Linked DNA regions of Tamandua tetradactyla. Each later gene encodes a partner of the first gene's protein in a complex. Links are inferred from orthologs where the notes say so. Each region holds a gene or a part of one and is shown on either strand. Other genes may lie near its edges.

The links.
Region 2: EXOSC7 (region 1) and EXOSC6 share a complex: the UniProt entries of both Homo sapiens proteins name them as parts of the RNA exosome core complex. The link is inferred for Tamandua tetradactyla from reciprocal best matches to the Homo sapiens genes EXOSC7 and EXOSC6.

What each region holds. Positions count from the first base shown.
Region 1 is NC_135341.1:41,894,538-41,907,204, reverse strand, and holds the start of EXOSC7 (exosome complex component RRP42), read left to right. Parts: upstream 1-7,104; 5' UTR 7,105-7,155; coding exon 7,156-7,212; intron 7,213-12,667. UniProt on the Homo sapiens protein: Non-catalytic component of the RNA exosome complex which has 3'->5' exoribonuclease activity and participates in a multitude of cellular RNA processing and degradation events.
Region 2 is NC_135342.1:68,673,476-68,685,088, forward strand, and holds EXOSC6 (exosome complex component MTR3), read left to right. Parts: upstream 1-7,376; 5' UTR 7,377-7,432; coding exon 7,433-8,251; 3' UTR 8,252-8,651; downstream 8,652-11,613. Other genes in the region: AARS1 (alanine--tRNA ligase, cytoplasmic), read left to right, coding at 690-896, 1,324-1,508, 2,854-2,962, 3,620-3,733, 4,380-4,499, 4,640-4,726, 5,165-5,278, 5,717-5,902; uncharacterized protein LOC143660365, read right to left, coding at 10,197-10,220, 11,083-11,222, 11,545-11,613. UniProt on the Homo sapiens protein: Non-catalytic component of the RNA exosome complex which has 3'->5' exoribonuclease activity and participates in a multitude of cellular RNA processing and degradation events.

The DNA.
Region 1 (12,667 bases):
GCAAAAGGGGCGTGGGGAGGAATGACCAAGCAGGAAACATGAGCTCTACTACCTGCTCCCTCACACATATCTGAGGGACCTAAAGTCACTTTAACTCACTGTTACTGTCTCCATCTCTAAAGTGATGGGAATGAACTAGCTCTCTAATCTCTGCGACTCCTTTTTTAAATACCCAAGAAATGGCTTCTAAGCACGACTTTCCTTCCATTAGCTATAGGGAACTGATAATATCTATTTTTAAAACAAAACAAGAAAACCCACAGCATTGCTTCTTCCATGAACCTTTTTACTTCTGGCCACTCCCTTTTGAACAGAGCTTCACCCTCACTGGACTAACACATCTTTTGGCCCTCAAAAATACAGCCTTTTGGAAAGAGACAGTGAGGACTAGCTGCCTCTTCCAAATTCTGATCCAGCCAGTTTTCAGATGGGTAAAGAAATGAAGGTCAAGGAATCTGTTGATCTTCAGATCAACAGAATGCTCAGAGATGGCTAATTTGCTTTCTAAGTCTGTCATATGGTACCCACTGCCATCTAAGTAGTTGCTATGTTACTACTTTCTTTCATTAACTCTTCCTTGCAGGAAGTCAGTAACCCAGCAGGAAAATCTATTTACAAAGGCAATAATAAATTACTGTCCAGCTACACATTTAATAAACATGACAGACTCATATTATGAGTAGCCATTTGTAATTAAGTGCATGCTCTCATCTGACAGTGAATTGCCTTCTGGCCCCTGTCAGGGTAGACGCTGAGATGGGCATTTTGCATGGCAGATGCCTCAGTGTGGGGCATGCTGAATTCAGGACGGGGCCTTGACTCTTCCCAAGCTCTTACTGAATGTCTGCTGCCCTCCAGGCACAGAGTTGAGTGCTAGACATGCCCCATATTGTTTGATTCTCACATTCACTCTATCTCATGTCTCCACTTTCCCATCCCCTTTAGAGATGAGGATACCGAGACATGGAAAAACTTTCCTAAGTCATACTTGCAGAAATAGTAGAGACAGGATACACCCCCAAGCTTGCTCTCATTTCAGAGCCTATTATCACTCCAACCATTAAATTTTGCCCAATAACTAGAAAATAAAAGGGGAAAGGGTATAGCTGTCTCCACCAGTGACCCTGGGTTACTTACATCTGACTTTCCCACATATGGTTATATAGAAACAGTGCTATTGGGTGACCGCACTCAGCCTTACACTTGGGACATTCATAAGGCATGGGCCTGAACTTAAGCATCTTGGATTCTAAGGTCAAGCCCTTGCTGATCACCAGCCAACAGTCAGAAGACTGATCCTGCCCTAAGCTAGAAGGCAGGAGGGCTGAAGCCTCAGCCAGAAGAATCACTCTAAGATTTAGCCCCCCATATACGCTTGTGCTGAGGAACAATTCTGTGGGACTGTCTGTGGGGTCAATTAACAGGATGCTGCTTTTTCCAAGAAACCAACCAGCTAAAGGATCCCACCTGAGGGTGTTGCAAATGGCACTTGGCCCCACATTGTGCCATGTGCAGATACACAGCCACTGTGACATCACTTAGGCAACAGTTTAGCTTTTTTAGTGACACAAAGCAAAAGTGCTTGAAGGGATTTGAAAGAGTAGCTAGGGAAGAGAAAGAGAACCTGGTACTGCAACTGTATCCAGGATTAAAAATGGGAAGCCATTAGGCCTTCAGGTCTCCACTGATTCCACTTATCCCCAGGCACTATAAGTGGCCATGCAAGAAGCAGAGACTGGGGAGGAATCTGGGACAAGGGAAACAATTCGTATTCGACAAGTTCACTGTCCCTCCCCTTCAGGCTGGAGGCTCTCTGGAATCTGTTAGAGAGCTTTGGAGATAGATGGGAAGCCAATGTTAAATGGAATGAAGACTGGACTTGGAGTCAAGAGGCCAGAGTTCTACTCACAGTCCTGCCATTCTAATCTCAAGATCTTGGGCAAGGTATTCACTTTCCCTGGGCCTGTTTTCTGTAAAACAAGAGGGATGGTCCAGCTGATTTGCAAAGGTCCCTACCAGAGCTGAGTCTCTGACTCCTCTGTTCTCAGGAGCAAATTTAACATCTTTGTTAATGTCTTCAATTTTATAATATTTTTATCAAAAGCTTTCCTTAACTTCTTTTCCCCATTCTTTGCTAATATTCAAAAGGGATATTATTTTTATAAAGTCAACAATAACTGTAAATGGCTGCTAATTTTCTGAGCATGTTCAGTTTCTTCAATCAAGTAGGGAATGAAATCTCCTTTTGCTCATTTAAAATTTCTTCAGAATGGAAAAAGCACTATTAAAATACATCAAGTGCTCGCTTCAGCAGCAAATATACCAATATCGGAACAATATAGAGAAGATTACCATGGCCCCTGTGCAAGGATGACACGCAAATTTGTGAAGCGTTCCATACTAAAAAAAAAAACAAAAAAACATCAAACACATGCCAAAAAAACCCAAACAAACAAACAAAACACTGGTGCCTGCCCATGCAAACAAGAACAACAACAAAATACATCAACTATTATAAATGGTAAACTTGAGCAGTCTTAAAATCCAAAGTTAAAACATGACCATTTTCCAGTGTTTAAATACTTGTATATCCAAGATCTACTCTGAGTTTTATAACCTGGCAAGTTATGCATTTTAGGGTAAAATGAGGCTTAGAAAGTCCAAGCGATTTGTTCAAAGTTATAAGGCAAGTTAGTTTCAAAACCCAGATATTTAGACAGACATCCCTACAATAGATTGTTACTACCCAACCAACCTGCTCTTCTAACTTCCCGGCAACTATTTCTCCGTTTAAAGATGCATGCTCTGTACACAGCAAAGTCAAAACTTATTGGAACACAACTATGGCCAAAACTGTACTTGCCCTACTAGGCTCATCTTCCTAGGACATGAAATCGATCCCACTCAAAGGCATTCCATCTCCACTGACCTTGAATAGGAGATATTCATGTCTTGGGTGGCACAGAAAATCTAGAGTTCTATTGCCAAGTCTCTTTAGACCAAGAAGACTGTGATTTGGAGGAGACTATGAAAGACAGAGTTTTTGCGGCATTTCAGTTAAATTGTGAAAAATGACTGAATTAGGTGGGACATGCAACTAATAGCCTTCTCACCTTCACAAAGAAGGCCAGGGATGGCTGAGCCATTTGTTGCTGGAATTCTCCGTTTAAAAAGAAAGTACATGATTTAAAAATGCAAAAATGGAAAGAAATAAGAGGCAGCATAGCAGTGGCTTCCTTTTTTTTCCAACAGGTCAATATCCAGGCATTTCTACTTCAGACTCAGTTACCATCTATGGCTCTCAGGGTATGTATGCATGCCTAAATACTTCCAGATTTAACAATCAGTATACGTGACCCCCTTTTCTCATAAACACTGTAATGAGAGATGTAGGAAGTATCCTACCACCCCCTCAAAATGGAACACCCCTACAGATCTTTTCTTCCAGTGGGAACAAGCTTTACCCATATATTCCTATCAATTTTTCTATCACTGCATTTCCAAGAATGTCTAGAACAGAAGACTGACACAGACCTGCCGGCCAGTCTATGAAAGGTTATTTATATTGAGTATTCTTTAAGGCAAGGTATAGGCAAGACAAATGCAAAGTGTTTAAAGAAAACAGCTCTATAAGGAAAATAGATCACTTTGCACTTTCCTGGGGTGCTGGGCTTATGGTAGAAACGCAAAGAAAAGGCCTAAAATTTGGCCATGCCTAAGACCAGGAATAAAATGTTCCCCTGCTGGACTAAGAAAGCTTTCTCCAACTACAGCACCAAGGGGTGGATGGAAGCACCACCCCATGCACTGCCCCGCAGCAATTCTATTACTGGTTTTTATTGCTTTAATTAACCAAGGCTAGGTGGGACAGATTTACTCCATCTTCGTAAAGTTATTGTTGCCCACTAGTATCTAGTAGTAGCTCATCACCTCTTACACATGATGTCTGGCCTGCACAATTAGTACCTTATTACAGGCTGGCCTCTATTCTAATTACCATGCGTCTCAATTGAGCACTTTATTTTATTGTCTTATTCATGTCCTAGTTCAAGTGCCCAGGCCCCTCAACTACAATAGATTCCTAATTCCTTTTTGGCAAGTGCTATGGTTTGGGTTTCTTTTATCTTTCTCCACACCCATGAGAACGCAAGGGAACTTGCAGGCATGCAAACAACACTTCCTGATCATTTGAAGAGTTTCTAGATGCCTACTCTGGGAGCGTGACACATGGTTGGAATCTGTATCAAATCCATCGGCCTCCTCTGCTGGTAAAGGCTCTCCGAAGCTATTTGGCTTCAAGCTCTACTTAGTTTGAATCTAACTAACCTTTTGCCTATCTAAAAGAGTGGGCTGAAACAGACATAGGAACTTCCCGTCAGCATCACATTCCATGTTTCTCTAGAGAAAAGAATTCAAGGGGATATGAATTTATGTCTGAAACAGACTCTTCACTTTTGGGATTAAAGCTAACTATAATTTATAGGGCAAGTGCCAATTTCATAATATTGGTCTCCTTTACCAAATACTCTGGTGAATAAAATGGAGCCTGGAGGGAGACCACATAGGTGATGGTTAGGAGTGCAGGCACAGGAGCTAAATTGCTTAGGCTTGAATTCTGGCTGTGCCACTGACTAGCTATGTGACCTGTGACTTTGGTAAAGACACTTAACCTCTCTGCACCTCAGTTTCCCAATCTGTAAACTGGGGATAATGATAGCACCTGTCTCATAAGGTTTTAGTAAGGTATGAATTAATTTTTGTAAAATACTTACTACAGAGTATGGTACATAACAAGTGCTATGTAAGTCTGTGTTAAATAAAATAGAGTACAGAGTTTTAGTATAAACAGACTTCAAAATGGTATGCCCCAAAAAGGGTTAATGGAACTATTTTCCATTTTTGACTTTTGATTTTTTGGCTATTACACATTCTTTGAATTGCTTTAGTAAAGTAAAAAGAACTCTGAACTTGTGAGTTTTAAAAATGTTTTATTATCTCAACAAATGTGGTAAAAATTTCTGAAAACATTTAAGTTGAAGCATTAGGGAAGATGTCATTATTTTAATATAGAACTTAAAATTAACATTCTACTATTTACACCTCTCATACCTACTTACCCTAACGTATCAGACATTGTTCATGACATTATTTAGCAAATACTGCCAACCCCTCTCCAGCAAGGAAGCTTCTGGCAGTTTATGTTCTATATATTTAACTCTATAATGAAAGACTTTTATATAAAGATGGCCACATGGTATCCAAGTTCAGATTTTTCTTTCTCTTTTTTCTGATCTGTTAATTTGCTGCCAGCTTTTAAGTCCTCAATCCCCTCAAATATCCTCGTTATTAAAATTCCACATCTAAGATCTCTCCTTTGTAGCAATATCTAGCACAAAATATTGCTTCTAACATTGTTATCTCATCACAGAGGTCCTCACATAGAATCCAGCTGTCTAACTATACAGGCAAGCATCTATGTTCCCCAACAGGTGGGACACCTGTGCCTTCACAGGGAGGAAACCCTTCCAGCTTTACCTCTTGCAGCTTTCCTGGAGGACAAAGCCCAACCCTGCAAGATGTCTTCCTTGAAGGTGAACTTGTAGAAAACTATGTATAGACATAAGAAATAACTAACGTCCAGCCTACTAAGAAGTGATCATCTATTATGGGGCTCAGCAATTAAGTGCCTAAGAATGTGGGCAGACACCACTTCTCTGTACAACCTCTTATGCACCAATTGATGATACCATCATAGCTCTAACGACCATATTCTAGGGTTATGTTGGCCCTGGAGCCTCCTGCTCTCCTTGGGGTACTTCTCCAGGCAGGAGTTGTTTTTTACTTGTCTTCATGTTCCAAAGCTAGTGCAAGGTTCATCCATAGTAGTTTCCCAATAGTAGAGTGAGAAAATACACTGAAGACAATATCTGAGAATTACCAACTATTCTTTGGATGATCAAGCTATCAAAGGTTATTTATTTTCACGTTTGAGAACAGAGAGTTTCCTCAAAAGTGGGACATCAAGAAAAGTCATCAGACTTCATCCTTCTACAATCAGTTTGGGTCAATTCTCCTCCATTTATCTGCATGACCCCTTTCATACTTGTACAGTATGTCTGTACAAGTATGAAAGTATGTCTCTGCCTGTCTTAAAGGGTTCCTACGGTGACCCCAGCTTCACCTTGCAGGTATCCTCTGGATATCCAAGGCCCATACTCTGACTCGGCCACACGGGGCTGGCTCCCACCCGTACCCTCCCGGGCAGCTGTCCACAGCTCCTAGCTATCAACTCCATCAATTTGAGGCTTTCAATCCCCACTGGGAAGTGCAGGGGGCATCCTGGCACTGCTTCCTTTGCCAGCGCGGGTTGCCTCCCCACTACTCTCTATGAGACAATGGTTTGGCGATCGCCCAGAGCAAGGGGACCCTGCAAAGTTCTAGGTTAGCATTCTGTCCCCGTGGGGGTGATGGTGAGATAGAGTGAGGATCTCTCAGGACTAATGTCTTCCACTATCAACCCTACCCACTGAGAACCATCTAAAGAAGGATTCATTGCCTCTTAACCATTCTAGGGGCCGGGGAAATGGAACTGAGGATGGGGAGAAAGGAAAGGACAGCAAGGAGACAGCCCCGGGCCAATTACGACGCCCAGCTTTCCAGACTAGGGGTCTGTCTCTCTCTCTCACACACACAACCTGCTACTTCAACTCCAGCTCTGGGCCAACCACGCCGTGCGCCTCTCCCACTGCGAGTCTCCTGGTCCCTGCCCGCGCCCTCGCCTCATCCCAGCTTCTTCACTCCAACCCCCGCCCCCTCCCAACTGACCGTGAAGCCGGTGGCAGTTTCCCAGTCCCAGGCCCCCGGGGGGTTCCGTCCGTCGCCGCCGTCGCCTCTCCCTGGAGTCCCACACCCGGGACTCTTTTACGGGCTGCGGCGATGGCTCCACGCCTCGAAGTGCCACAGCTCCCTGGACTCCGCCAGTTACCGGACAGCGCGCAGGTGAAGCCCATCGAGCTCCCGGCAGCTACGGCGGCGGCAGCAGCGGCTGCAGGAGGGGCCGCCGCGCAGGTTGATGACGCAAAAGCGCGGGGAGGGTGCGATCCGCGCGGAGTTGGCGCGGGCTGGTGACGTATCTCGCGCAGTGCAGTCGGCAGCATGGCGTTCGTGTCGTTGAGTGAGGCAGAGAAGGTGTATGTTGTGCATGGCGTCCAGGTATCTGCAGTAGTGGCGTCGGGGGACGGCCGCCAGGTTCCGTTGGCCTACCCGGAAGGAGATTAACTCAGCTGCCGCGGGTTTGGCTTACCTTGTCATTAAGTGGCTCTGCGGCCGGTCTTTGCAACCTAGAGCCTGCAACGTAGGCTTTTTTAGGACTGGTGATCCGTTTAGGACTGTTTGCGTTCTTGCCGGTTTTCAGGTCTACATGGTTCTGAGCCCAGGTGGGAACCGGTGGGCGCTCCCGGAGACTTGCTTTTAGTGAAGGAGCACTACTCCCGGGACCATCTCTTTGGCCTTCGCATGTCACTTTCCGTGACTGGGCCTTAGATTTCTCCTATAGGAAATGGATACGTGGGGGTGGGTGTTGTGGAGCACACTGAAAGAGAGACCGCATAATTCGAAACTGCAAGCGAATTTGGAGTCTTTATTAGCCAGCCAGCGACTGCCTCAGAAACTTCCAAGGAGGAAGATTGAGAGAGCAGCACCCGGGGGTTTTCAAGGTGTGCTTATAAAGGCTAAAATCTTGTTGTGGTTTTGCAGTTGCTAGCAGGCAGGCATATCACAGAAGCAGAAAAATGCCGTTAGCTGTTGCCAAAACATATCCTGTTCTCTCAGTTTCCTAACATTGGTTATTGTTAAACTCTTGGGGACATTCTGCCCCAATGTTGTGGGGACTTTCCCTGCTTGGGCCTGATTGATTGCTCCTGGCCCTCCACAGTGGGGGGTTCCTGGCCCACTTTTCCTCACCTAGTAGTTGGGAGGCACAGAGAGAGCGTGCACCCTAGGTGAATGCGCTTTGAAAATATAAGTGTCTTGCGAATAAAGGGGAGGAATATTTAGGTTTATAAAGCGGCTCTTTAAATCGATAGCATAATTGTTGCTGTTTCCCATTTTGCCAGTGGAGAGCTAAAATCCCTAGAAACAGTTAGAACCAGGCATCTTCTGTGTTCATTCATCAACACCTGCTTTTGACCACTCCAGAGGACTGGAGGACTTTGGACTTGGTAATGAGCCACCTCAGTTCCCACTTTGGCTGTTTCCCCATTTGTTATGTCACTGTGCAGCCCTCCCGTCCAAGTTCTTCATCCCACTCTTTGCAGAGTTCTGGTGTCAGCCCCTTCCCCTTCCCTTCCTGAGCCGAGGCCTGCTACTACAAAGTTAATGGTCCCGTGGTGTGGCCATCAGGTTAAGCGATCAGCTATGATCAGCTATCGTTAAAGGTCCACAACGGTGAATAAAGCTCATGATCTTTTTGAAATTGTGCCGTGCTGTTATCCTCGGTTGTTATAGATGAAGAAATGTCAACATTTGGCTTACAGGTTACATATTAAATCTGAATAATAGAGTCAACAGTTCCATGTGCTTTTAAGTTTATGCTTCAGATCAGAAATAGTGGGATATGTGTGTGTTATTTGTTTGGGGGCGGGATATATAAATCCTCACAGAGCTATTAAATTTATCCTTCTGTCTTAATTTTGTGCCATTCTTCATGTGATTTTTATTCTCAGAGATGCTTCTTGGGGAGGCATTAAGGATAACAATTTGCCTCTAAATGTAAAATCCTTTTTATTTCTTTCTTTGCTACCACAGTCATGAAATATTGATTTCACTGTGCAGTCCATTTTTTCTCACATTCCATTTCTGACAGTGGGACCAAGGGACATAGGTTCCTTGTCTGTTACCTCCCAAGGCTAGACAGATCATGTCCTAAGTTCCAATGGCAACTCATTAGCTATCCGGCAGTATATTAAGGACCCATTTTATTACACATCTATTATGTGCTCAGTGCTGTGAAGAAGTAAAAAAAAATACAAGCTATGTTTCTGGCCCTTGAGATGCTCAGGATCTAGTTTGGGCAAAATTAGTTGTTTATTTTTCATTATTGAATATCCAGCCTGTGGCATATTATGTGAGAAGCAGTAGGGGCACTAAAATATTTGTGAAATGCATAAATGAAAGATAGGTAAGACAGGAAAAATGAATAACGTATAGACAATGGCATATAAGGTATATGCCATAAGATACATACCGAGGGAGTGTAAGTCAAAAAAGGAACTGAAGATTACTGGAGGCTGTAGTGCTCTGGAAGACATCCTTAAGACAGAGGATTTGCTTCCCTAAATCCATGGCAGATATGTTTCTACAGCACTCAGTATTTATTCTTTCATTTAACACATAGCTTAACCTGACTTGGGAGATAGGAAGGAGCTTGCCCTTATATTGTTCACATGCTAGAAGTAAGATAAAGAAATTTCAAATCTAGTTGTGTGTTTATGTTTCATTAAAAATTGTATTGAGTGCTATGAAGGAAAAACCTGAGAACTCATCTAGTCTCTTCAGATTTCCCTGAAGAAATGGCTTTTGAGCTGAGCTTTCAGGGTGACTGCCAGTTAGGCAGTAGCATAAACATTCCAGGGGGTGGGATGGTGAGTCCCCAGTACCTCAGGTGGAGGAAGCATGGAGCCACAGGAATGAGCTGGGAGTAATGGTGGAAGATTGGCTTACAGAGTTGGGCAGAAACCACATCATAGGGTCATAGAGCCTCAGCCAGTCTCCCATCATGGGTCTTGATGTGTAATCATCTGTTGATTTGTTTGTATGATATCCCTAAGGCCTAGGGAGCCCTTCGACCAAACCCAACAAGAAGGCATCTAGGGAGTCTGGGTGATACATTTTGGAAGGGGTTAACCTACTAGTACACAGATTAGGGCAGAGAAAGACAAAATGGATCTGAGGAGGTGAGGGTAGGGCAAAAGGAAAGTTTGATAAATCACTATTTTGATATATGATTTGATTGCTTTCTCTTAAGGCCCCAATTAGCCTTTGAAGACCAGTATGCTCGCCCACTCTTTTTTAGGTGCATACCCACTCTTTTTTAGGTGCATATTGTATCATAGTTTTTATCATTGCATCTAAACAACTATTCTGAAGGTAAATATCATTAGCTGTATTTTATAAATGAGGAAGTGATCTCAGAGGTTAAGTCACTTGCTCAAGGTCACAAGGTAAGTGAGTGGTGGAGTGAGGATTTAAACCCAGATTTGTGTGATTGATTGCAAAGCCCATACTCTCATGTCACCTTCCCACAGCAGTGAAAGTCAATGCCTTTCATTCCTTAGAGATTTAGAGGCAAGGGAAGGGAGGATCTCTGCTTCTTCTACTTCTCTTCCTTTCTCCTTTCCCCTAAAAGCTTGTAGGGAAACAAGAAGGAGAAGGGGAAATTCTGAAACATATACACCTCCCCCAACTTTTCTAGACCTTTAAATATTATATGATATTTTCTGTTATTTCTTTAGGTAATGTTCTAGTTTGCTAGCTGCCAGAATGCAAGACACCAGAGATGGATTTGGCTTTTAATAAAAGGGGATTTATTTCATTAAAAACGTGTAGTTCTTCAGCGGAAAGGCAGCCAACTTTCAACTGAGGTCTTTCTTACACAAGATGATCCCTGCTGGCCTTCTCTCCAGCCCTCTGGGTTCCAACGACGGGGTGATTCCTTTCTGCATCTCCAAAGGCCTAGGCTGAGCTGCGAGTGCTAGATGAGGTATGCTGAGCTGCTTAGGCTGTGCTACGTTGAGCTCTGTCATTTAAGCGCCAGCCAGTTAAATCGCACATCATTCATTGCAGCAGGTACACCTCCTAGCTGACTGCAGATGTAATCAGCAACAGAGGAGGTTCACATGCCATTGGTTCATGTCCACAGCAGTAGAACTAGGCATTTCACCTGGCCAAATTGACACCTGAACCTAACTACCACAGGTAGTATATTCCCCAAGTCGAGTTCCTTTATAACCCTCTTTTGCATTTCTTTTGTTTTATTTTGTCTCAACTGTTTCTTCTCTGTTCACAAGAAGAAACCTGGAGACAGATTTCAGAATTTCCAGAATCTATGTTTTATCCTCTTTCCTGGCTTGCTTAACTGGCTAGATGTGTACTTTCTGTCATCCATGAGAAGACATTACTAACCTTCATCTTAGTCCAGTGGTTCTGAAGCCTCAAAGTATATTTAACTCACATTTAAATTCATATTCCCAGACTTTACTCCAATCTTCTAAATCAGAATCTCCAGGGCTAGGGCCTGGGATGGACATTTTCATAAAGTATTAGGAGATTTTGATGCAGCCATCAGATCTGACTCAGGAACTGGTAATGGGAAGCCACTGGCCTGGTACGACCTTGAGCCTGGTGCAGAAATCTATGCTACTCCCCTGCCTGAGGTCACATGGTCTCCCACCTCTGTTTGAATGAGTATTTGGTGTCAGACTGAGTAGTTTCTTTCCTAGCTCTGCCGCTCACAATGTGAGTGATTTTTACCTCAGTAACCTAAGCCACCTCCCCCTGTGTAAAATGAGGATATGTCCACTTGGGGAGTGGGTTGTGAGGAATGATTGGAGAAGAGATGTCTAACACTTGGCATGTGTTAAATACTAAAGAAAAGTTGGCCCTCTTTCAAGTTTGTTTCTTCTGTTAGAAGTATGGCTTTGTCCTAAATCATCTGCATTCTATCTCCAGCCTTTATAGTGACTCCATTAAAGGTTCACCCTGTGACTTTGAGATTTAAGAGCTTTTGTTTGGGAGAGTTAGAGATTCTTAAATTATTTCAAGAAAAAGGGGATTTATGGCAAGGGCTAGAAAGTTCCCCGGGAGTTATATGGTACCACCTCTCATGGATCACGTGGTGTGTGCAACTCTTTACATCTCTTGTGATACCTTTGCTTCTCTGCTGAAGTTTATCCCTTCCCCCCAGCCACTTGCTATCTAGCTTCCCTTCTGCTTGCTGAATTCTGCCTTGGGCCTGGGTCTGCAAAGCTGGACCAGATGTCATCCCTTTCCTAAGGGAAGTTGTTTTCTAGTAGGGAAGGTGGTTTGACTTTCAGTTCTCCTGCAAGCTCTGCAGTTTTGGACAAGTCAAAGCAAGGTAATGAGGGGATGAACGTAGCCTCAGAGGACCATATTGAGCCTGAAATCCCCCCAGGTGTGTTGGATTAGTAGCACAGCCTTGTCCGCTTCTAGTAGAGAGTATAGGCTGGGTTACCTGAGTGAAGAAAAGAGAATGAAGAAAAGCAGTTCTGGGCTAAGTTATATATACTTCCTCTCTATCTACGAACAGGGTATTGAAACTTGTTGCCTCAGTGTCTTCATCTGTACTTTGAGGGTACTGCTCTCTCTCTGCATGATTTTTGAGGATTCAGTGAACTAAAAAGTCATGCCCCCAGAAACAGAGGAAGGGAACTTGGTAAGATTGGCGTTATTCCCACTCTCTAGACAAGGGAACTGGCTGAGACCTGCTGAGAAACTTGCTCTAAGTCACAGCTGCAGTGGAGATTTAAATGTAGGTTGGAAGGTGACTCTTTCCATTACTCCACACCCAACTGGCAAGGTTGTGATCACCTGGGTAGCAACACTGTAAAACTTTAGTAGCTATCCCAGCATCCAGAAACCCTTTATCTAG
Region 2 (11,613 bases), on another chromosome or scaffold:
CCAAGGATCCTTCATTAGTTAAGAAATAGGTTCTGTTGCATGTGGCAGAGCTCCAAAGTAACAGTAGCTTAAAACAAGAAATGTACTTCTCCCCTTACAGTTCAAGCTGATACCGACGGTCTGTCCCATAAAGTCATAGGGCTCAGCTTTTTCTTGATTGTTTTTCCATTGTTGGTACTGGGGTGTTACTCTTGTCTTCATGATCCAAGAAGGTAACTATTAGATCTATTTCTAGGCCAGAGGTTGGCAAATATTTTTTGTGAAGGGCTAGATAGTGAATATTTTTGGCTTCATGGAACACACGGCCTCTGTCATCACAACTATTCAAATCTGTTATTGTAGTGTGAAAGTAGCCATAGACAATGTATAAACAAAGGGGTGTGGTTGTGTTTTAATAAAACTTTATTTATATAAACAGACAATGGGCCAGATTTGGCCTGAAGGCTGTAATTTGCCAACCTCTGTTCCAAGCAGTAGCTATACAGATCACTTTTGCTCACAACCCATTCACCAGAACTCAGTTACTTACCCACACTTAGCTGTAAGGGAAGCTGGGAAATGTATTCTTTATTCTGGATAGCCACGTGTCCAACTAAAAATTCTAATATTTGAGAAGGAGAGAACAGGTATTGGGGAACAACCAGCAGTCTGTTACAGCCCTGTACACTAGCCAGCTCTACCCTTTACAGCCCCGACGGAGACCTGTCATGAGCAACCACACAGCTACCCACATTCTGAACTTTGCCCTGCGCTCGGTGCTTGGGGAAGCTGACCAGAGAGGCTCACTGGTTGCTCCTGATCGCCTTCGGTTTGACTTCACTGCCAAGGGAGCCATGTCTACCCAACAGATCAAAAAGGCAGAAGCAATTGCTAATGAGATGATAGAGGCAGCCAAGGTAGGTTGGATGAAGTCTAAGCTTTTTGGGTCATGGAGCTCACTCCAGGTACCATCACTTTGTATCCTCGGAGCCTCAGCAATTTCGATGCTCTCACTCCATTGTACATATTCTGTCTTGCACATCAATTTCCTTAAAGCTGGGTAGGTCTTTGCTCTACCCTCTCTTCAGGACAAGCTAAGTTCCTTTAGTTATGTCTGTTTTACTATAGCGTGTCCACATAGCAAAATGGTTGAAAAACCCTACCTTGGTCCCCTTGACTTTACATGTGGTGCATTATTTCAGAAGGCTCAGGGCCATGATTGGCAGAGCTGGGGTTGGAAATCCAAGGTCCTGCCTGCAAGAACACATTCTCCCTACTGCTTCCTACTAGACCCCCAAAGAAGATCCTCCCCAGCTTTTTTTCTGTCTCTTCTTTGCATGGCAGCCTGTCTATACTCAGGATTGTCCCCTAGCAGCAGCTAAAGCTATCCAGGGCCTGCGGGCTGTGTTTGATGAAACCTATCCTGACCCTGTGCGAGTTGTCTCCATTGGTGTTCCAGTCTCCGAGCTGCTGGATGACCCCTCTGGCCCTGCTGGCTCCCTCACTTCTGTTGAGTTCTGTGGGGGAACGTGAGTACCTTGCAATGAGTGGGAGTAGATGGAGTCGCTTGCCCTTTACCCTTTAGGGAGGCGGATAATAGGATAGACCAGTTGTTGTTATTCTAAGGTTGAGATGACGTCCTTAAAAATGCAGCAGCCAAATGGTATTCCCAAGAAGCATCTTAGTGCTCTGATCAGATCCCTCAGTGTCTGACCTTAACATTTCCTAGGTTTGTGATGAAATGTTCTTCTTAGGAGAAGGAAGTAAAAACACTACATTAATACTACACAGTGGCTTTCTATTTTTCCCTCAACTGATCTTAACAAGAAGACTGGTGTGAACTCAGGATTTAGCAAGACTATGGCATGTCATCAAACTCTTGATCCAGTTCTGAGCCTCTTTCCATTCCTGAGATCCTCACCTAATTCCCTTCAGGGAATGAAACTCCATTGTCTTAGAACCTCTAAGACAGGCCATGGTGTTAGGACCAGTTTGGTGTGGGAGAGCCACTTGTTTCTGCCAACTTGATTTCTCCATAGCTCTTGTTGTCTTTTGGGAAATGTCATGGTGGCCTGGGGAGTTTCCTATTTCCAGCGGAAGTCTGGAGGAAAGAACATTGTTAAGGCCATGGCAGAGTCTATCCAGTAGATCCAGGACCTCCTGCAAGCTTTTAGGCAGGCGGGGAGCAGTGGGCAGGATAGGCTCAGGATCTGGGGGGTCAAATGCCAGACCTCCCTCTGGTTGGCTAAACTGCGCCTTCAAATGATTCCCACTTCTGCTTAATACCTATTTGTAAGAAGTTCTTTAGAACACAGGAAACTGTTTTCAGAGACCTTATACCTTCCTCACAGAATGATTGTGAGAGTTAAGTGTGAGGTTTTCCAAGCAACTTGAGAATAGAATCTATTTGTTGAAGGGGCTGTGATAAGATTTTAGAAGTAATCCTCCAGCATTTTCAGCCAGTGAGCCAGGGTATAAGAATATATGTATGCTTGTATCCTATCAAAGAGGGCCAAAAAATGTGAATTAATTTATTTTCATGTTTATCTCATTTGATTTTCACAACAGCTTAGTGAGAGTGAATTCAACCCATGTTATTTATGGGAAAAAAAAACAACAACAGGCTCAGAAAGATTGCATCTCAGTGTGATAATGCCCTCAGACTTGGGCTTTCTCTCTTTTCCCCTTCCTGCTGCTTCTCTTGTGCTCATTTACCTAGCGCCATATTCCGGAATTCCCTTAAACATTAAGGACCTTTACTCACTTTACCCCTTGAGAGAACTTCCCAGGAAGGGATTACAAAATAGGGCTTATACATCCCGGCCAAAGGCTCCCAGGCTCTTTTCATCCTGGACTTTCTGTTTTGCAATTCAGGCACCTGCAAAATTCAAGTCATGCAGGAGCTTTTGTGATTGTGAGTGAAGAAGCTATTGCCAAGGGCATCCGAAGGATTGTTGGTGTTACAAGTGCTGAAGCCCAAAAGGTGAGTAGATGAGGCTGGCCTAGCTAACTGGGCGAGAGGGGCTTAGTCCGCTAATTCACAGGTGCCACAGTCAGGATTGAAAGTACAATTTACTGTGCTCCCGGCCCACCCAAATTTCCTCCAGTTATTCCTAAGTGGCAGAATAAAGTCACCACTACTCTTATGTTTAATCTTTAAAAATATATGTAACATAACATATATTTTTATATGTTACCTCCATAACATATCCATGTCTGGGAGGTAAGCCATAGTTTTGTCCTCAGGATGTCTCTGTGTATCCCCAGGGATAGTAAGAGATGTATGGTATAGAGGGACAGTTATTTGGGGGCAGGAACAGTAGCTTGTCCCTAACTGATGCTGAAGTCTAAGGGGTGATCAATTCTTGGGGTGAAAATGGCTCCTGATTTGCAAGTTCTTGGTCACCCCCTAAAGCCCAGTTATGGTCCAGCCTTTCTGCTGACAGGCACAAGGAAGGTGTTTTCTTTCTGAGACATGAGGCTATAAATACCTGCTCTGTAAAGGAAGGAAAAATTCTGATGTCTCAGGGTTTGCTGCTCCATATCTGTTGTCCATGCTTTGCCCAGTTGCTTACAGACAGAATAGTGAACCTGGAAGTTACCTGCTCTGGATTTTATGGTTCTGATTGTCCCCTTCCAGGCCCTCAGGAAAGCGGAAAGCTTGAAGAAGTTGCTCTCTATCATGGAGGACAAAGTAAAGGCTCAGACTGCACCAAACAAGGATGTGCAGAAGGAGATAGCTGACTTTGGTGAGGTAGGGTTGCCCTCCCTCCCAGCTTCCCTCCTCTCCTTTCACCAGGGCTGCTTAGTGCTGTTCCTGTGTCTAATAAGACATTATATCCTTGTTCTTAAAGAACTTTCACTGTAGCCAATCAGGTTCTGGTTCTCAGTGGAATGGGGCTTTGGGTGGACTTCTGTTAGACTATAGCCTTGCAAAACTCCATGCATCCTGATACCTGCCTCCTGCTCCCACTGCTGAGAGCAGGAGAGCCCATCCTTAACACAAAGGAGCACTGGTATTAAGGGAGTTGGGGAAGATGCTATGGGTACCCACTGTTTCCAAGCTTGCCTGGTGGTTATTATACTAGGGGCTTCCCAAAGAGCCCATCACAGGCTCTGTGTTCACTGCCTGGTAAGGGCCAGGTCTTCCACAGGCTCCCAGCTTCTCTTTACCCTGTCCCTTTCTCTCCAGCCCTGCTTGTCACAGCTGTTGCAGGTGCTCATAAAGTGACTGGTCTCAGGGCCAGTAGATAACCTTTTTTTTTTTTTACTCTCTCCCTGTCCCAGACACTATTTGGGAAGGACTTAGGTATTCAAAAACAGAAAGGAGGGGTGGACTGGAGCCTCACGTTCTAGTTCCTTGTGGTCTAGATTCAAATAGTCTTCCTCTTCTGGTCCAGGCACTGGCCACTGCAGTCATCCCTCAGTGGCAGAAGGATGAGTTGCGGGAGAATCTCAAATCCCTGAAGAAAGTCATGGATGATCTAGACCGGGCTAGCAAGGCTGATGTCCAGAAGAGAGTGAGTCTTGGTGGTGCTGGTAGCTACAAGGGAGCAAAGAGGATGTATTTACTCAGCAAAGCCTGTAAATACTGCTTTCAGGGTTTCTGAGTCTAGTTTGTTGACCTGAAGGCCTCTCTTCTGGACTTCGTTCCTTGCAGGTGTTGGAGAAGACAAAGCAGCTCATTGACAGCCACCCCAACCAGCCTCTTGTCATCCTGGAGATGGAGAGCGGCGCCTCGGCCAAGGCATGCTCAGGGCAGGGGGGGGTCTAGACATTGCTCTGCGGGTTCTGTTGCATGTTCCCGTCCCTCATAGTCTCATCAGCATCTGGTGGCTGAAGTATAGGCTTTGTGGCTCTGTGTAGAGTCATTGCCTGAGGACCCGCAGCCTGGGATTGAGATTAGCTGAGCCATGGAGAGATCTGATGGCCGCAGAGCTGTGGCTTCTGGTGGGAAGGAGCACTTTCTGGAGGTGGAAGGCAAACCATGGAGCCAGAGTGTGGGCAAGGGCTGTACTCAGTCCTTCTCTGTACAGACTCCCAGGGGCCAGCACTTGCTCTCGGAAGGCGGGGTGGGGTATGGCACTTGGAGGGCTGCTGAGCTTTGCAGACTTGCTGCAGGACAGTATGACTTCCTCCCCACCCCCACCCCCAGCTATGCCCTGACACCAGATGTTCCCCACAGGCTCTGAATGAAGCCTTGAAGCTTTTCAAGACACATTCCCCTCAGACATCTGCCATGCTCTTCACAGTGGATAATGAGGCTGGCAAGATCACATGTTTGTGTCAAGTCCCCCAGGTAAGAACTCCGTGCAGCCTTGTTCCCAACCTGTTACAGTGGGCAGTGTTGTTTTTAGCTTTTCAGAGGGAGTTTAGTTATTCTTGCAGTTTGCTGCCAAGGCTCACATAGGTTTGTGTAACGCCCCCTTAGAGACAGCTGATTCCCTGCCCGCCTCCTGGTCACCTCTGCCAGCACCCCTTACCCTCAGGCCTTCTCTTTGGTGAATATGTTTCACCGTACTGACCAGCTGATACCTAGGTGTCCTTGAGTACATACTCAGTGGCCATCAGCTGCAACCCTGTGCCCACTATATAATCTCTCTGCCTCCGACAGTGGCCTACATCATCACTCAAGGCAGGAATGGGTATCTGGGTCCCTCATCTATCCTTCCCTTCCCCTCTCTATCACCTTCTCAATCCCATCCTCTGCTGACTCCCATTTCTCCTTGTCTTTCAGAATGCAGCCAATCGGGGCCTGAAGGCCAGTGAGTGGGTGCAGCAGGTATCAGGCCTCATGGATGGCAAAGGTGGTGGCAAAGATGTGTCTGCCCAGGCCACAGGCAAGAATGTGGGCTGCCTGCAGGAAGCACTGCAGCTGGCCACTTCCTTTGCCCAGCTCCGCCTGGGAGATGTGAAGAACTGAGGGGAGGGGTGACTTCCAATTGGAAGCAGTTCTCAGTCACCCAGATGCATCCGTCCAGCTGGGAGTGCTCCACCTGCAAGGACATTTGAACCCTGGGACCTTCAGAGGAACCCCGTCCATCCTTCTAACCCAGCGATAACTGGAATACAACCTGGGAACTGTCATGTCCTGTGACTTCGGGGTCATTTTACGTTTCTGTCCTGAGCCCTAAACATCAGCGCCATCTGTCTCAAACCACTACCCCAGGATTGCTATTTAACATCGTCATGCTCCTGTCTCCAAGTGTAGTTCTCTGCAGACCCAACGCTTCTGGGTCTGCAGATAGGGAATCATTTTTTGCTGCAGAGAATAAAAGGACCATGTGCAATACTTGATGATGTCATGTGTTTTCCCCTTCCCCAGTGTGACATTTATTCCTGGGGTTTCTGTGGGTTGAATGTTGTGGCTGCTGCTGGTTCCTGGCTGAAAGGACCAATTCTTGCTGAGTCCAAGTTCAGACCTTCTGAACTTGGGATTTTCCCCTGGGATTGCCTTGACATATTTGTGGAGGTGGAGGGAGAACAGGTTGGGAGAGATGGAGCGGGGGCATTATTAAAAGGTGATCTACAGGTTCACTGGAAACAAATGTTCCTTTCCCTTTCTTGGGGAGCTGCCTCTAGTAGAATCTCTCCATTTCTTAGGTCTGTATCCTCTCTCCCTTTGAAGCTGTTGACATGAAGATGGGGTTGTTAGGTCAGAAAGGAGGTATTTAGAGTCATTGCTGCTTCCTTGACCCAAAGACCAACAGTGATGATGGAGCACCTGCCCTGGGCCTGAATCCAGTTTTCCCAAGTCCAAAGAGAGCTAGGTTTGGAAACAGTAGTGTGAGGGGAGATTAAAAGGTGCTACTTGCCTGTGGTGACTGTGACTGATGCCCTGTGGATACAGTGGGCTCATCTTGGGGCCAGGGTCACTCTCGGCCTTACTGACAGAAGAGGGAGAAGGAAAGACAGGTTTGTGCTAGGAAAGGTGCAGGCCACCTGTTACAGGCACAAGAAGCACCCATCAAGTTAAGAGGCTTAAGGATACAGAGATGACTACAGAATATATTGGGCTGGGGAGAAGGGGAGGGAATTCCATTCATGCAGGGCTCTGAGGGTACAGGTGTAAGACAAAAGGTCACTTTTGGAGCAGTGAGGAAGATGGATATAGAGTAACCACGCAAATATATGCAAAATTTAAAAGGTACAACTTACATAAATGAAGACCTATGCTCTGGGATTTCCCATGCCTGGGGGGGCTAAAGGTCAGCGGGCCGGGCCCAGGTCCGCAGACGTTCCATCGGTCCAACGAGCCCAGAGAGTCCAGACTGCAGACTCGGGGCTCGGTAGAGTCACCTTTTTCCCTCCAAGGCAGCAGGGGGCACTGTGGCCACGCCGCGCCCGCTGCTCTCCCGAGAGCCCTTGCGTGGGCGCGCGCCTTTAAGCGAACGGAAAAGCAGGCGAACGAGGTGGGGGACGCGCGGAAGTGGCTCGTACGGCCGGCTGTGCCATGCCGGGGGACCACCGCCGCATCCGCGGGCCCGAAGAGTCGCAGTCGCCGCAGCTGTATGTTGCGGATGAGGAGGAGGCGCCCCCCGCCCGCGACCCCACGCGGCTACGGCCCGTGTACGCCCGCGCCGGGTTGCTGAGCCAGGCCAAAGGCTCGGCCTACCTGGAGGCGGGCGGTACCAAGGTGCTGTGCGCCGTGTCGGGCCCGCGCCAGGCCGAGGGCAGCGAGCGCGGCGGCGGCCCGGCCGGGGCGGGCGGTGAAGCCCCGGCTGCCCTGCGCGGCCGCCTGCTCTGCGACTTCCGCCGTGCTCCCTTCGCGGGCCGCAGGCGCCGCGCGCCCCCAGGCGGCGGCGAGGAGCGCGAGCTGGCGCTGGCCCTGCAGGAGGCGCTCGAACCGGCAGTGCGCCTGGGTCGCTACCCGCGCGCGCAGCTCGAGGTGTCTGCGCTGCTGCTGGAGGACGGAGGGTCGGCGCTGGCCGCCGCGCTCACGGCCGCTGCTCTCGCCCTGGCCGACGCGGGTATCGAGATGTACGACTTGGTGGTGGGCTGCGGCCTGAGCCGCGCGTCGGGCCCGGCGCCTACCTGGCTACTGGACCCCACGCGGCTCGAGGAGGAGCGCGCGGCCGCCGGCCTCACTGTGGCGCTCATGCCGGTGCTGAACCAGGTGGCCGGGCTCCTGGGCAGCGGGGAGGGCGGCCCGACCGAGAGCTGGGCGGAGGCCGTGCGCCTGGGCCTCGAGGGTTGTCAGCGCCTCTACCCGGTCCTGCAGCAGTGTCTAGTGCGGGCTGCTCGCCGAAGGGGCACCTCCGTCCCGCCCTGAACCCGAGACCTGAGCAACGACGTCCGCCAAGGGAGCGTGCTGCTGTCGACCCACCACTAAGGACCTGCGCCAGACTAGGCTGAGCAGAGCACTGGAGAGGATCTGGGGCCGGCTTCCCACCGTCCCACACAGGACTGATAGCACTGGACAGCTATTGGAACGGGTTGTGCTTTATAAGAAACTTTTATGCTTGAGCTGGCTCCCAGCTACTACCAAGTTGAAGAAACCTGTGAATTCAACCTGGCTCCAAGTTGGAAAAGACTTATATCTGGAAAATGAGATTTGGAGCAGGCCAGCCAGTGACTCCCTCCTGTATAGCTAGACTGCTTTAGAGTGGATGAACAAGGGCACTGTTTCTTCTTGCTTATCTGAGCTAAAACTAAACAAAAATCCTTTTATATCTGAAAAATGTCTTCTGTTGTAGTTCTTCTTGGTATGGGATTTAAAATAGCAAGACTTTTCTGAATAGTGTGTACTCAGACCTCTGGTGCCAAGGGCTCTGAACACATTTGCCTTCATGTTTCCTGGCCCTTATGCCCGTATAAGCAGAAGACAGGCTGAAATATCTGAAACAGTTACAGGGGTTGATGTGGAAAAATACACTTTGTTGGAGGGGACGCTCACCCCCTCCAAGTACCAGAGTCAGAGCAGCTGCTCAGATATGAGTTGGGGAGAGTTTATGGCCCCAGGAACACTGGGAGTACCTGTAACCCCTGGTTCATACTGGGCACTGGCAAGATCACAGCCCAGGATTGAATAGTGGAAACAAATCCCATCTTTCCAGGTGTCACAGGTAGAGCAGCACAGTCAGAGGCCTCATCCACTGCTGGTAAGCAGTGGGGGCCTCTAGCTGGCTTCATGTCCTAGTTTCTCCTGGAACAACCCTAAAACCAGCTCAGGCTTGGAAGAGGGCAGACTAATTGCCAGGATAATGGGGAGCCAGATATGGCCTGGCCATTCTGTAGGGCAGAGCTGGCCTGAATGACCACAAGACAGGCTGGGGGAATGTCTTCTGCTCTGTATGGCTCCTGTTCCCTGCAAGTCAGTGCACAGGTCTGGACTGAAGGAAGCTAGGCAAGACTTGGCCCCTCCTCTTTACCCCAGCTTGTTATGAGCCGCTAAACTTTAGTGTCTCAAGGGCTTTACTTCTCTAGGAAAGACAACCTGGGACAGTCCAAGGACCAGAATGAGGAGGCTTTTTGAGACCACACCAGGAACCTCTGACCAGAAAGAAGAAATACAAATTTAATTTTGTTACCTCTGACATAGTACATTTTTCCAGATCAGTTTTGAAATACATAGTATCATACCAGCAAGAGACGAGAGAAACGACATAAAAATGATACACCTATTCTGAAGGATAGCTATATCATCTAGATGGGGAATCTAAAACCAAAAAGGGTTTAGTGAACCACAAGCCCAGGACATAACAGCTCAGTTTCAGACTAAGAGGGGACCACAGGGACACACTTATGTTTCCTGTGCCCCACTGTGGCTGGAGAAAGCTGCCCGGGCCTGACAGCTACACAATATTCCATACCCTGACAGGACTGCTGGGGCCAAGTGCTGATGGGACATTGGGAGGGGACAAGAACAGCAGAAGCAATATCTGCTCACAGAGAAGGCTGGGAGTGCTCTCAGGGCTCTCAGGGAGCCTGCCCAGATGCCCCCTACAAGACCAGGCCTCAGCTTCTTAAGGAGGATGGTGATCTGGTCCCAGGCCTACTTCCTCCCCTGGCCTCAGCATGATCTTATTGGAAAGTTGACATCCAAAGCACTACCATGGGAGGCTTCCTGGCTGGTCTGGCCAAGCCATTCCTCTGTTCTATGCCTTGTGTCCAGAATGGGTACCTCAGGTAACATGGGAGCCACTGGTAGACTTCCAGACACATGGAGACAAGGAAGGGAGCCACTCGGGAAGGATTCGATCTTATTGGTTGCCCTTTCAGTCTGAAGCATGATTCTTCACCTGTAGGGAAAAAAGAGAACTGGCCAAGACTGCCCCAGGCGCACTACAGCTAGGGAAGAGAACACCCTCTGCTAGAGTAGCTCGGTGCTACTCCAGACTTCCTGAGACCAAGGAACTGGGGGCAACCAGGAAAAGGAAAACATTTGCTCCATCTAGCTCATTCTTTTCCTACTGGAGATCTGACTTGGGTCCTGGACAGTGGTGACGGTCCTCCTGAGCCCAGCAGGCCAAGGGTCAGAGTGGGGGTGGGTTGGAGGAAGGGAAGCTCTCAAACAGCAGTGGAGATTCACCGCCTGCCTCAGGGACCACCAAGGGGAGGAGAAGGTGATAGGGCAGGGGAATAGTCTGGCTTTTAATGCCGTGCAAAGGGTTTTTATCAGTTCAAGGCTTGGCCATGCTCTCCATCCAGTGAGGCCAGTGCCCCAAGCCTTCTTCCCTGGGGAGCATGGTACAATGCACACAATCCAAAGATTCTTGGGCAGCATGTTGGGGCAGTGGGGTGGAAGAAATCTGGGTCTTAACAAACTTACTAGATGGTTCTCATGCCATGGAGCTGGGCCATGGGGCACACCTGTGACATTCCTTCTACAATGCTCAAAGTATTCTTCCCCAACTCCCCCATCTACCAGGAAGAGATGATATTTCAGCCCAGAACTGACCCAGCTGCCAGCGGTCACTCCTGGTCCCCATGAGCCAACCAAGGTCCAGAGTTGAGATAAAAAACTGGCCAGGGCCCACCCTTCCCCAGGGTACCTCACCACATTGGATTACTGCACAAACCCGAGTCCCTCCCTTGTCACAAGGGTCCACAAGGACCCAAACACAAGTAGATGAGGATGGGGGCAGGGACCAAGCTACTCACCTCTGGCTCCGCGTCTGTGCCCTCCTCCGAGCTGTCCTCCTCCGGAAGGGCTCTCTGAGTCCTGGGCTCCTGGTGGGGCTCAGTGACTCTGTATAAGGACCCCTCAGCCCCAGGGCCTTTGGTCTCACGGTCCTTGATCCCTGTGCAGGGAGAATCACCACTCATTCCCGACTGACCCAAGAGAGGCAGTACTGACCTAGAGCATCTAGGGCTTGAAAGGACAAAAGGTGGGACCACTGTCCTGGCTCTGAATAGCTGCTGAGTAGGCAGGGTGATGGGTCAACTCAGAAGCTACCTCTAGTCACAGAGGGGGTGGAGTTGTGCTCAGGGTGGGCAGGAGGGGAGCCTTGCAGACGGGGAAAGCTCAAACATGGCCATGGGTGCCCCTAAGACCTTCAGGAGTGGGAGAAGCTGGAGCTCTGCTAAGAGCATGACCTCGGCCTGCATTTGGGGGAGGCTGACCTGCAGGCTGGTCCTTCTGCTGGTCCATGTGCTCCAGACTCTCCAACAGGCTGTCCACCTGGGCCTTAA